Linked DNA regions of Styela clava. The protein of the gene in region 2 purifies or fractionates together with the protein of the main gene of each other region. This does not show direct contact. Links are inferred from orthologs where the notes say so. Each region holds a gene or a part of one and is shown on either strand. Other genes may lie near its edges.

Region 1 (7,196 bases), about 9.9 Mb from region 2:
TCAAGTGTAATTTGAATTTGGGAATGCTGAAAATTTGAAGCAAGCAGTGATTTATTTAATGCAGGGAGGAAGCAGTGAAATATGTAAATCCTATCCTATATTTTTAACTGTTTGAAAAAATTAAATAAAAGCGTTTTTGATCATACTTGTGTGGGACTTAATTTGCATTTCAAAATGATAATTATTAATCAAATGAAACTATTTGGTGTTATTCCATCCAAAAGCATAAATTTCTATTCCCAATATTGAATACAATTAATTTCTATTAATTCAAAGATTGGATTAATTTTGGACATCCCTGCTTGGAATAATTTTTATAAACTTCAACTTTCCCTTGTTAAAGTGAAATAATGATCCAATAACATGTAAAGAGTTGATAAAAAATATTAGATGACAATAGACTAAATATTTCCATCAAGAATAGGTTACCGTAGTTTTCACTTGTGGAGAAAAATATAAACAAGTGCTAATTCACAGGTATGGGAAAATGTTAAAATAAAACAAAAATATATATTTAAACAGTGAACATAATCCAAAATGTTATTGTTTGAAGAGTATAACCTCGCAAGTCAGTTCAGCTTCGATATAATTGAATAGGATGACAAAATATGAATATAGTCATTGCTTTGATAAACGGTTTCTAATTATAGCACCAAGCATACACTAGTTTGATCATATTTATATTACAAAATTTAAATATAAAAACAATTAATTGAGGAAACTTTTATGAGAAACACTTACCACACCATCCAAATACTTATTCTGATCATCGACATCATCTCTCACATCTAAGCTTATCTAGAATGGAGATGTTGTATAAAGAAAAAAGTGCTGTCAAATAAATGACTGAAATTATAAAAAAAATAACACAAAATTGTAACTAAAAAATATAGAACTCATAAAATAAATTGGAATTGTCACACAGCTAGTTAAAAACTAAGTTGTATATATATTTAAAAAATATTTATCATAGAGCTCAATAGCAATTGATACAGAAGATAATTAAATTAGGAAGGACAAAATAATTTTAATCCAATAATTAATAAATTCTTTAAAATCAATCACATATCCCAGAAACATAGTTAAGTTCTAAGTTTTAACCACGAACACTGTGGTGTCAATCATTGCACCTATCTTTGTTAACACAAGATTATTTATTGATAGCAGGCAAGTGTTGGATCTGTTTAATTATATGTAGAATAATTTTCTTCAGTAATTTGGTTATATCATTAATAATCTGAGTTATGCATTGACAGCATTGTATTTTATTACTTATACCATTTTTAATCTGGACACTTTAGAAGCGAGTTGATCAGCAAGGCGATCATTTTCTGACTCCATAATTTGTTCTGTTCCGGACGTTGTCCCACCTGTAAATAAATGATAGAAACTTGAATTGAAAAACTAATAACTGTTGTATTTTGGTTCAACTGATATACAGCATACAAATATTAAATTATATTAATGGCCCGAAAATATACAAGAGCATAAAAACTAGTCAACATATAAGAGAGATTGATTTATCGATACATTCTTTAATTTAAGAACAGACTTAGGTTTTGAAGAAAAAACAGATTCAACTGAAATTCGCTGTTTCCAAAATAACGTGTTCACTTAATATTAGTAAATATGATTTGTAATAAAACGCTGCCATGAATATTTCAGGAGTTAGGATTTAACTGCCTTTGAAATTCAAACGAAACATTATATTCATCTGCATTTTTCCTTTCATGTGCGAACATGAGGAAGCTTCTAATTCCTGTGGATGATAAAACACATAACTATTGTGTTAATTTGACAGCCAACTTCACCAAAATCTAGTCTAGTTTATTACAATTCAACCTCAAATTAATAACGAAAGATGTGCATGTGTTATGTGCTTACAAAAATGAAAATATGTACATCGCATATACACTATTCAGGTTATTCCGGAAATAGCTTGTATGTTGGTATGTGTGAACCACAGCCTTCCATGCGTTGGCATCACTGGTCAGATATGGGTGGGTCTGGTATAGTTTAGTACCAAATGCACTAGTTGGCCTGGCTCAATATTTTTTGCATATGTCATTCCTAATTCCACCTGACTATGTCAAAAAATCACATCATTGCGATGTCACAGTGGAGTAATAAGGCCGAACAAAGTATGTGGATAGTCGTTCAAAACGCGCAGACAATCACCCAAAACTGAGCAAGCTATCTCTCTCTTTTTCTCGTCGCAACGATCACGATACAAGAGAGAACGCCGGCATTTATAAGTTCGTTATCGGCGTCGCAGATTCCATTTCAGGCAATCCTGCAATCCTAACTAAACTTTGGAAAGCTCTATGACATGATTGTGATGCCGTAGTGACGTAATTTTTTGATGACATAGTCTGGTGGGGGTTAGGAATAACATATGCAAAATTCGTTATGCTACGCCCACTGGAATTACTTGTGGTACTAAACTATACTAGACCCGGTATAGGCTGGTTTAATGTTTCAGATGCATGGAGTTTGATTATCGAGAAAGCTGTAATTAAGTTACCCATGCCCATTTTTAACATGCTTTAGAACTGTAGAATGAAATCTACTGTATTTAAGATATTTTTTAAGGAGCTCTGCTCAAAGCAAATTCAGAAGGTCGCGATAACTCACTGCGAAATTAAGGAGAATGATCCCAGAGCAAAGCTAAGAGCAACAACTCAAATACCAAGGGCTACCGGTACCGGTACAATACCGGTACTGTGTACGGTAATGCGCTAGGATTTACCGTACATCTGTACATACGGTACCGAATATATTTATCATTGCCTATACCGACATGTGTCCTTCATGAATTCAAAATGGAAATAGCCCATAACCAAACTAGTGGATTTACCTGAATTTCGATTCCAGTGAGACATCTTGCTGGATGCACGCACTTCAAGAAACTCCAAACAACAAAACGAAGCAACAAACGATTGACGACGTGTATCCTCTTCACTATTCGCTAGATGGCATTCTTGTTTTGTTCAAATATCAGTGACCCATAACCGCGCATGTGAGACTGTGAGCCACTGGGAACATGATTTTTGCAATGGTAAAGTAAAGAGAGAGCCCAAGGTTTAACGTAACATACATGACCATACTTTTACTAGATAAAAATAGGATTCGATTAAAACAATCTCGAATAGCGTCTTGCCCAAAGAAGAGGGTCTGGCCCAGTGGCGTAGCCAGCCCAAAATTTTGGGGGGGGGGCCAAATTCGAAAATTTTAGAAATTATATTGGGTTTAAAACACCCGTTCTTCAAGCGCAAAACAACAACAGTTGGTCAACAAGCAAACTGATTCAATTACTCAGCTGGATTTTTGTGAATACGAAATCCATTAATAAACAATTTTTTATTTGAAACAACAAATATTAACAACGCAATTTGAATAAGTAAAATACATCGCCCCAATTAAAAGTCCATCCTTCGCTTCCCGCCAACTATGCTCGACACAACTCGATTAATTTTCTCCTCGGTGACCATTTCACGGTGACATTGAAGCACACACAAATCAGAAAGGCACTTGGACGTCATTGATGAGCGCAGCCATGTGTTTACCCGTTTCATGCATGAGAAAAACCGCTCAGCCTCAACGGTGGTTGCTGGTAGCGTCATAACAATCTGTATTGCGGTGTACACGCTTGGATAATCTCGAGCGCTCAGAAGAAGCCCCTCCAAACATTCGTCGTTAACGTCGGAACTTAAAGAAGTTCTCCACAGTCTCACTCCATTCTGGAGGTTATCCAATAAATACAGACGCTCTACCTCATCCACGTGAACTGGTTTGTTCGGTGGAAGAATTGATAGCAATGAAAAAAATGAAGGGTTGTCAATGAAGCGTTCCCGAATAGAGCAGCTCAAGCCGTCGACGTATGGGAGATATACGGAACGTTTAAAATACTGGGATGCTGAATCAGCACAGACATTATCGCGATAAACTTGTACTTCGACTACTCTGGGTATTGTCAACTCTTTCAAGCCAGCTATTTCACAAGCTTCTTTGTAAATATTCAATGCGATTTCAGAGTCATTGCGTTCTTCAGCGATAACGCTCTGAAGAGAGGATGTGAGGTTCTTTACTGACGGCACACTGACTCCGACCGCCTGAAGTGCGCGCGCTAGTGGCTCCATTAGTGCCGAATATCGACCAATCAAACATACGGCGTAGATAACCGACGACTTTTCTAGAGCAGATTTCAGAGAAAAAGCCTTCGTCCGCGTCTCACAGTTAGCATCTCTCGCCAAAGAATCAAGAGCCTCAAGTACTCGTTTGAAGTTGCATTTGAAGATTCGGATGCTCTTGTACTTCTCAGACCATCTGGCGGGGCAGAACAAAGGGATGTTAATTCCTAAACCCGCGCGCCTTTTAGGGCTCTCCCTGAAAAAACGAATAGTCTCACGAATGGATATCACAGGTGCTTCTGATGATTGCAACTTTACTTTGATCATTTATGATCAAATTCAAACAATGAGAAGCGCAGTGCACAAATATTGCGCGCGGGTATTTATCACGAATGCGTTTTTGCACACCGCTGACGTGACCTGCCATTGTCGTTGCACCATCATAGCCTTGCCCCACAAGTTTTTGCAAATCCACTCCTATACCAGAGAGGTGGGTCAAAATATTTGAGGAAATTGATTCGGCAGAAACAGAATCCATTTCCACTAATCCTGTGAAGCGCTCGCACACTTCACCACCTTTCACATACCTAAAAACGATGCTTAGTTGTTCTTTCCCAGAAATATCACATGATTCGTCGGCTATTACGGACACAAACGATTTATTAGCCTCCATAACGATATCTTGCACTATCATGTTGCTTGCTACCTTGAGAATTTCATTTTGTATCATCGAGCTTGTATACTTAGCGTTTCCGGCCATTCTAGCGAAATGCCTTTTCAAATCTTCATCCCCTGCCTCGATACGAAATAGAAGAAGGTTCACAAAATTTCCAATACCCCCGGAATGTCCGCGCAAGGGTATGTTACCCGAAGCACAGAACATGACAGTCTTGACAATGGAAGTCATTATTCGTCTGTTTTCTTTTGTTTGCGTAGCATATTGGGCCTCCATGTTTGCACGCACATTTTGATCAGTTTCCATGCTTTTGACAAAATATTTTTCGCAGCTATATTTGATTCTCGGTGGTAATTTGTGTCTCGGTGTGCTACAGCCTTTTCCATAAATTTTTTGTAGTCAATGCATGGTCTTGTAACAAAGGCAGTGTCCCTGAGAATTCCATGCTTCAAACGTGCTTGCATGACTATGCATATCTTACACAAACCACCCCCATCAGAGAGTTGGGTGTAAACTAACCAACTACAAAATCTGTTATCGTCAAGCCATTTTATGAGAAATTTACGACGACTTTGTCTAACAGTATCCAGAATCGTCCCGTTTTTCGGACCATCCGAAGTTAGAAGCCAGTTTCTCTCCGCATCGGTAAGCTGTGTATGTTTCTTAAGAATAAATCCAAGATCGTTTGTTTTCCCTTCGTTGATTATTAGTTCATCTTCGGGAATAGATGTGATAGACGTAACTGACGTAACCGGTGCATCAACAGCCTGAGAAGCGCTTATTGATGTATTTGAGGAAAGCGAGTCTTTATTTCGCTGAAAAAAACTATCGAATTTCGCCTGTTTAAATTTAGCCATCGAAGTAAATTGGTCATCAAAATCCAACCGTTTCGAATAAAAATCCGGCGAGAACAAATCAAGACCGAGTAACAAACCGAAAGCTTGCGAAACGGTCTTTCCCATACTGCTCATAAGAGCGAACGGTCAAGTCTTTGTGACGTAACAATGACAATCGGCAAGCGTGACGAGACAAGATGCCACAAAACTGGTGGATTAGGAATGGAATTCTTGAAAATTTTGGGGGGGGCCATGGCCCCTCTGCCCCCCCTCCCCCCTGGCTACGCCTATGGTCTGGCCAACTGGAAACTAAATTTTGTATACTACGACAATGTAATGGACCTTTCCCCGAGCACCGCCTTCCTTGTTCACTTCGTGAAATTGGCCAATCAGCAAGATGCAAAAAGTGACGTAACAATGCTACCTTCTCGCATCCGCTCAGACACTTCTTTCACTCAGATTTTTTCAGACAGATTTTCAGGCGTGGTCGTAAACATTACCTCGTTTTCGAGTTTTTGAACTCTATTCGTTAGTTTTCAGTTGTGTTACGGAAATTTAAATTAGATAATTCAATGATCACTCTGTCTTCCTATGAGTTTTAATTTGATTGCAGTAATCAAAAATCAGTGTAGAATTAGCTGTGATAGACTAGGCTAAAATTGTTTACCGGTACTTTTGAAAAACAGATTGTTGTATGCACTGAATCATAATGATGGTTTTAAACACATACCCCATTTTACAGGCGCCAACTCGCGAAACCACTCCTAAAATAAGCCCCGACAATTTTGCAATGGTAAAGTATAGGAAGAATTTTTCGGAGGTCAAAGGTCGGGGAAACGTTCATACATTTTGTGAAAATATCTTCAAATTATTTGTTAGCTTTGTACTACAAAACTCAACAACGGCCAAAGTAATTCAGCCCTTTGTTTTTAACTATGTCGTTCAGAATTACACTGATTAATATTACATGTGATTTGTATTACGCGATGTTGGTTATTTATTTACCTATCGCATTAGATGGTTCAACTACCAAGCATCGATCATGAATGATAACAGTTCTCCAACAATCAAGTTGCTAAAACTTGGCTAATGTTCATTTAGATATTTGAACCTTGGGTGTCGCTGCTTGATAACCAGCTTTGGTTCCTCGCAGCTTTCCCTCCCCAGTGAAATGTGTATTCAATATTATTTATTCGTCTTAATTTTGCATGTTAACTTTTTTTACTGTGTGGAAAAAATAAACTTGACTATGACTACTAGTAGCTTCCAGCTTCGAAAAGTGACCTGGAAATTTTTTTTTTTTGATAGTGGCCCTCTCGGAAGCTTGCAGTGAGAAAAAGTGTGTCATAAGAACTGACACAGTGAATTTTAAAAATCGTTCGGAGAATTTAAGCTGTTAAACTACATCAAATATTAGCAAGTTGGCGGCTGAGGGCCAAATCCGTCTCGTTAGATTGCCTTTAGCTTTCAACTGTAGCGTACCAGCCGTCTATGAAATAATTATCCAAGTTCAGAATATCTTCCAATATGGTCTGACGTCCAAGTTCTCTTTCA
Region 2 (7,559 bases):
CTTTAAGGTCGGAAAAGTCTGTGAGACAGAAAGTGCGTGAATCTGATTACACTGCCTAGATTTGCAAGATCAAACCAAGAACGACCAAAAATCATTAATAATCATCTATTCTAAAATTTGAAAAAAAAATATCAATATTTCTTCGACTTCAATGTACATTTAAAGAAAATTCATAACGGGAGTCTTACCAGAATGACTGAATGTAGCTCATAAAATAGAGCGTGCTTGGCATGACAATCATTACCCATATATCCTCGCATATAAGCCAAGTTGAAAACTAAAAATGCAGCATATACATGCATAACTCTGATCGCACTATATAAAATTTAACTTATACGACTTAACACAAAATTTCACTAATTCCTTTCTGTCCCCATTTGCTTTGATAGGTGCGTACAACGTGTTATGATTTGTAGGGGCGCCTTATATGCTAATATTTATAAATTCACCATTTTAGGACTGTCGAATTATATGCGAGATCATCTTATATGCAATGACATACAGTTTATTATTCACCATATTGAAAATACTCTGTATGGCCATAACATAGAAAATAAAACAGAATTTTAGGGTGAAAGAAAACTAACACTGGTTATCAAGCAGTATCAATCATATTCCCAAGACCCAAAAATCACACCATAATAAGCCAGATATAAATAACTGGGTGGAACCGCAGGGACCCAACTTTTATTCAATAATGGCTATCTCATAGTTGCAGGCAAAAAAAAAATTCGCGGGGCGCACAATGTTTTATTGAAGGCCGCAGGTAGCACACCCCTGATTTAGCACATGCAAGTGCTTCTTATTTGTCTGCAGATCTGCAAACTCCTGAGCCCACATCCCTAGTTGTAAAAGTCAGAAATAATATTTAGAATGCTCTTCTTAAATCAGCTAATGTAACCAGTATATCAGAATGAGTATAATACAGATGGACACAACGGAAGCCATGATAAGCGAGTCCCTTTGCTTCCTCATTTTAATTCGTCGAACGAGACTATTAAGAGCGGGGAACCGATTAGCAAGGTTATTCAATCTCGTTGTCATATTTTTGAAAATTTTTCGCTGCGTTCCCAAATTTTCTTTCGTTGCCATGGCGATGTCGATTGCCTCGCTGGCAAGGCGATCAGAGTTCCTTAAATGTTCGTTTTCTTTTAGATAAAGATCGGTACGTCGACTATTAGCTCCGCTTCCGCTTTTGTAAGCGTCGATATCACGTCGAACTGATCCGATTAAATCCTCCCTTTCACGATGAGCGACGATATTGCTCTTGGTCTTGGCAAATTCATGAGTGTAGTCTTGAAGTATGTCCCTGTGTCGTTGTAGAGTATGCATTGCAGAACTTGGACCGTTAATTGCTTCGCTGTGATTGGCCATCATGTCGTTTACGCCCGTTAATTTCGCCAGAAGTTGTTCGATTTCCATCGCCATGGTTTCAAACATTCGTTCGCTGCTCGAATTCCCAAGAAGAGGTGTATGGTCGCTTGCGTGGCTGCTATAACTTGTCCCGAGTTTGCTAAACGAGACTAGTTTTAGGTCGAGTTCGTTCTCAAGTCGGCGAGCTTGTTTCCTTAGGTCCTCCCATTGGTTCGTCATTTTTCTCATCAAAAATTTCAAAAATTGTTCCGATGTAGAGACCACCAATATTCAAAATATGGAGTCACCCGGTAGAAATTCGCAAACAATAAAACAGAAGTATGATAATATCCCAATTTGTGTACTACAATAATGAAGTATACAGTCTTTTCCAGTCGTCAGCCTCACATAGGGATAAATAGCAACAGTTCCACAATCAGAATCACAGCGTTGGCTATCTTATTTCTGTAACAAGATAAATCTAAAATTCTAAAAAAATACATTTCATTATACAAACTATTTGAAATCAAATTATATGTACATCGCGCAGATTCTCAAAAAAAAGTGCAGCTATAAGTAGAATCACAATTAAAAAAAATGGTGCATTTTACGAAAACTTTTCGCTAACCAGAATGCCTAAAAAATTTAATTACCATATATCCTCCCATATAAGCCAAGATAACTAAAAAAAAAGTTGCCAAACTTACGGGGCGGCTTATACGACCATAGCTCTGATCGCACTAAAGCAACCTTTGCTGTGATAGGTGCGTGCAGCGTGTTATGATTTAAAGGGCCAGTTTTAATGTGAATTTTGATGATTCAACCACTTTAGGGGGCCGGCTTATATTCGAGGATATATGGGTAGTAACATAAGTATAAAAACTCAAAATTTTCACCCAAAATATCAAATTTTATATGTAACACTCCCCCAGCTTATAATAACTCATTAGGAACAATTTAGTGACAAGAAAATTCAATTTTCACAAAATACATTCAAGTTTTCAAGTAATATACCAACTAACAGTGGACGGCTACAAATCACAGTGAAATGTGTCCAACCAGCAATGCATACTAACTACCTTTGATGTTATTATTTTTGAACTTGATGGCAAAATGCATTGAAATAAACCACAAAATCAATGAAGTATAACTTTAACAGAATAGTCCCATTTGAACCGGGTGGGTAAAATTCTGACTGCCCGCCTCATTGGTTAAACCCAAGGAGCAATTGAGCATATATTGACAAAATCATCCTATTTAGAACAGATGGATAAAGTTCTGACTGCCATGCCTCATTACTTGAACCTTAAAAGCAATGGAGCATGACTTTGACAGAATATGCCTAATTGAAACAAAGTAATAAAATTCTGACTGTCATGCTTCATTAGTTAAACACAAGATAGCATATATTATTGACACAATAATCCTATGTAGGATAAAATTCTCACTGCAATGCTTTGTTACTTGAACCCAAACAGCAATGAAAGATATATAGACAGAACATTCTATGGGAATAGCCATAGCTAGAAAGTTGATTATCTGATTCTGGTTCCATGGACTTGGATATATGATAAAAAGTGAAACGCCAATATTTTCACAATGTTGTTAAAAGGCACCCTTGCTTCAATCAAAAAAATATGTTACTAAACTCTACCATAAAAATCATTATTAAATTAATTATCATAAAATTATTCAACAGTGGACATTGGAACTACTACAGTGGCTAAATTAGAAAAAAATAAAATTGATTTGGGGTAATAAATACAGTGATTCAACAGTCTTTTATTACAATTAGGATTCTGCTACTACCATAAATTTGTACATGAAATGAGGTGTAAAACCTATATCTAATATGATATAAATACAGGGCGTTCATAAAGTCTACATCATTACAATTATAAAGTCTGGTCTCAAGATTCGTTTATTTTAATCAGCGTTTATTTAAATTTCTTACATCATTCAATACACCTGTAGAGGAAAACAAACTATAATATAGTATCAATAAATTTCTATTCACACAATTTCTAAATTTTGTTATGAAGTCAGTTCTCAATATACCTTAACCAGGTTTGTTTTATCCGAATCAATGCTTGTTCATTTATTAATTAATACATAATGGCCATTAAATATTTATGGTATAGATAAATTACCTTACAATTTGAGAAAAAATTTAGAACTTTATGAATACCCTGTATAATATGTGATATAAAAAAATTAAAATTGTGCAAAAAATAACTATCTGTGCTTCGGAGATTTTCTTCCTCCTTTCCCAGATTTTCGTTCTTGCTGACTCGTTGCGGTAGTAGCGCTACTTTCTTCGATTTTTTCTTCTTCCAAAGTTGCGTCGAGCTCGACTAATAACGGTGGAAAATCTGCGTTCGTTTCTTCTAATAACTTATGAAATTCACTTCTATCCTCGATTATCTTTTTCACAGCGTTAAAAACTACAATGTCGCTAATCGCTGTGCTTGGATGAGCCGCTCCAGGTGTGATAAATACAGCTTGAATAATTCGAGAGCGAAGACGTTCGAATCTTGTCGACATTTGCTCAGCGGAAACTCGAGATAATTGCTCCAGACGTCGCATATCTTCCAAATCACGACATAGGTGTTTGATCTCCTCCGACTGTTTTTTATCTAGCTCGCCACCTTTTTTAATTTTTTTGTGACTCTCCCTAATTTCTTTGCTCTGTTTGTCAGACTTTTCCTTCAATTTGTCAGCTTTTTGTTGAATCTCATTAAAAGCGTTCTTCAGGATTGTCAACTCATGTTCAGTTTCAGCATTCATATCGCTGTGTTTTCTTCTTTCCCGCAAGTCAGAGAACTTTTTCGACATTGTCCTAGCCTCTGCTAAAGCTTCGTTCATCTGAAATTCGGCTTTCTCAACTTGGGATGTCAATTTCATTACTTTGTTTTCAGTGCTTTCTAAATCACGCTGTAAAGCGTTTATGAAGCCGTCATTCATAACCAATTCTTTTTGCGACGTTTCAAGACGATCTTGCAACTCAGAAATTATTTGCTCTCTTTTAACAAGCTCTTCTCTCATAGCCATGACCTCGTCTTCAGGGGTTAATTTCTCGGGAGCCATCTTGTCGAATTGTTCTCGTAAAGCGTCTGCATCAGCATTAGCGCTTCGTAACGACTCGCGAACACTTTCGACTTTTTCGTCATATTCTTGTGGATTTTTTTGGAAAGAACCCTCTGGTTCAGAAATTGTTGTGCTTGTTTCGTCAACATAAATCAAAGGCTTTTTTGCTCCACTAGATGGCGTACTTGAGCGAGATTTCTGCTGCGATTCTCTTTCTAAGAATTCAATTTTTTCTTGGAATTGAGAAATAATCTTATCATTCTTTTTGCATTCTTCTTCAAATGGTCCAAGACGAACAATTTCGTCCGTCAAAATTTGCGTTCTCTTACGCAGATCCGCCACAATTGCCTCTAATTCCGTTTCTTGAGTCGTTTTTATGACAACATTTTGTGCCAACTGTCTTCTAAGGTCAAATATTTCGTTATCTTTTTGTTTAGAATCAATTTCGAAAGCACTCAAGCGGTTAATCTCATCGCCCATTTGTAGAAGGCGTTCTTCTTTTTCTCTTAGCATAGCCATGTACCAGGGTTGTTCTTTTTGTAACGTCTCCTGGACTTCCGGTTCAACCGTTTTTGGCCGTTCTTGCCGGTTAACAGGGCTTCCACTTTCGAGAATTTCACGAGATGACAATTTAACATGACCCTCTGAACCATATCTGGTTGTCATTCGCATATTTCTCGGCGCCGATTTCGACCTCTCATTTATGGCTAAAGGAGAAATCGGTAAAATCTGATCTCTCGGGTTACCAGGTGCCGTATCAGGTCGTAAACTAAAATTATCCTCGCCGAAGCCGCTAGAAGATCTGCTGGTCATATTTTCGTAAATACTAGAGCCTTTGCGAGAAGTTTGGATAGAATGGCTCATCTTCTAACTGTGGTGCTTTTAATCCCACATGATAGCGAATATCTCAACAAAAAATACACTTTCTGACTTTGGAAAGAACTAATTCACCAGCGAGGCAGCAACACATCACCATACGCAAAATCAACAGCGTTTCCAAGGCGAGGGGTGATTGGAGTCGTCGGACTGACAGGTGGTCCTAGTTCGCCTTTTCCTGGGGATAAATAATCAGTATCAGTTTCGAACCCAGGCAGAGCGACCAGAGGTGCGATGTCAAGCGTATTCCCATTTCGTACAAATTCTAAAGCAGTGATTTCTAACGGCCGGTCTGCGAAGTTTTTTTGTCGGTTCGCGAGAAATGCTGTTGTTTTTCTGCCAAACCGGAGACGCGTGCTTTTTCTGTTCTACATACTTTTAGTGATTAACATGACCATCCAAATATAAGGTGATTCATACTTCTTCGCCATGACATTCAGTAAGATATGAACCTATTGCGACCCTGCAGGTGGTCAAAAGACGTGCAACAAAAGCATGGGCCGCTGAGATCTTTTCCAGGTGAGGCACAGCAGGATTTGAGCTTGGTGACGGTTACGTTAACGACGACTTTGTCATAATGTAATTTTTTTTTGAGGCGTCGAATAACCGCAGATATATTAATATGATGAACCCGACACATTGGACGAAAAAGAGAAAAAAAAACTTGATTGAAGTTGTGATTCTACTTTACAGTCCAATAATATGAAAATATATGTTATTGTTTTTCTGTTCCAATCATATCAAATTTTTCCGTTCCGCGATACATTATTATGCATAGTCATAAATTATTCCTGCTACAAAGTGCAATCGTGTCGTATGTATAATCAATTATGTTTATTAAATGTGTTTTTATCACAAAAAGGAGATTAAAGTCGATAATACATCCCGAATGAGATGGTTGACTTTCGTTTCCTTACACCCGCGATCTCCGCCTTATGATTTCAACATGGTTAGCCAGACCAATAAGCATGCTCATTGGCCAGAGCTATCAGTCACTAGTCCATACTGAACCATTATATTATATATACGCTTTGTACTGAACTAAGCTTGTTTCTGAAATTTTCTGACTAATATATATGCCTTATCTAAGAGGGTAGGCGTGGTCATTTTCAAGAGTATTCCATACGGATCTTTTAGACTTGATTCCCATAAACCAGGGGTTCCCAAACCTATTTAGTCGCGGGCCAAAATTTTAAGGCGAGGATACTCGGGGGCCAGTAAAGGGGAGTGACCAAAAGAGCGCGACGTAACGGCTGGCGCTTGAATGCGCCCTGAAATTTTTTCTAAAAAATGGGCACGAAAATAGGGTGCAAGATTGGTTTTAGATACACGCAGTATCGCAGTTTGTTATGAAATAAAATTAATAAGTATAATAGTTAGATGATAGAATACCCGAGAAATAACAAGTACGACTTTCAACAAGGACTTGCAACTGATAGCGACTAATGAAGTTACTTGCTCATCTGAAATACGGCTCCTTATAAATGGCTACTCATATCATAGTCAAGTTTAATTTTCCATCCAGTAAAAATAACAAACAAAATTATGAGAAAAGTAAAATTGACACACATTTTTACTGGAAAGCGAAGTCTCTGGGAACTGATTATTAAGCAGCGACACCCAAGGTTTGATATCTAATTAGGTTTGTAGTTGACTTTTTTTGAACATGTTCGTTTGACTTTTATATGAATCTAACAATGAATTAAATTTTGAAATACGCCGCTCACCCGTCAAATGATCGTAATTTGAAGAATGCTTCGTCTCATAATGGCGCTTGATGTTGTATTCTTTCAGAACAGGAATAGTTTGTTGACAAGGAAGACAAATCGCTGAAGTTTGATTCTTTTCAATAAAGAAATAAGAACGCTGCCATTTATCCAAAAAACGTCTGTTTTCAGTGTCTAGTTTTCGTTTTTGTGACATCTTCAAGCTTTCTTAATATAGTGCTGATAACTAAAATACTGCCGTACGTAATCCTATTATAATTGAATTTTTATGATTATACACGCGCTCGAATTGTGGTAATGACGTAACAATTGGCGGCAACTAACAATTGACGCAAAAAGATGAACACATTTAAATTGTTAAACGTATTAGTATTTATTCGCTTTATAGTTTCACTAATGTTCGGCGGGCCATTTTAAATCGTCTTGCGGGCCGTAATTGGCCCGCGGGCCGCGGTTTGGGAACCCCTGCCATAAACTGACAAAACAGAAAACCTAAATACGATCGAATCAATATTT

What was found. The genes of interacting proteins can lie anywhere in the genome.
Region 1: the proteins of Golgi SNAP receptor complex member 1-like (region 2) and BET1-like protein purify together in Homo sapiens (affinity purification with western blotting; 3 studies listed by BioGRID and IntAct, with this or other methods). This does not show direct contact. The link is inferred for Styela clava from reciprocal best matches to the Homo sapiens genes GOSR1 and BET1L.

The regions. Positions count from the first base shown.
Region 1 is NC_135255.1:10,596,918-10,604,113, reverse strand, and holds the start of BET1-like protein, read right to left. Parts: upstream 3,012-7,196; 5' UTR 2,883-3,011; coding exon 2,858-2,882; intron 1,371-2,857; coding exon 1,279-1,370; intron 799-1,278; coding exon 742-798; intron 1-741. UniProt on the Homo sapiens protein: Vesicle SNARE required for targeting and fusion of retrograde transport vesicles with the Golgi complex. Required for the integrity of the Golgi complex.
Region 2 is NC_135255.1:20,539,356-20,546,914, forward strand, and holds Golgi SNAP receptor complex member 1-like, read right to left. Parts: upstream 2,473-7,559; 5' UTR 1,603-2,472; coding exon 892-1,602; 3' UTR 505-891; downstream 1-504. Other genes in the region: coiled-coil domain-containing protein 27-like, read right to left, coding at 3,589-5,304. UniProt on the Homo sapiens protein: Involved in transport from the ER to the Golgi apparatus as well as in intra-Golgi transport. It belongs to a super-family of proteins called t-SNAREs or soluble NSF (N-ethylmaleimide-sensitive factor) attachment protein receptor.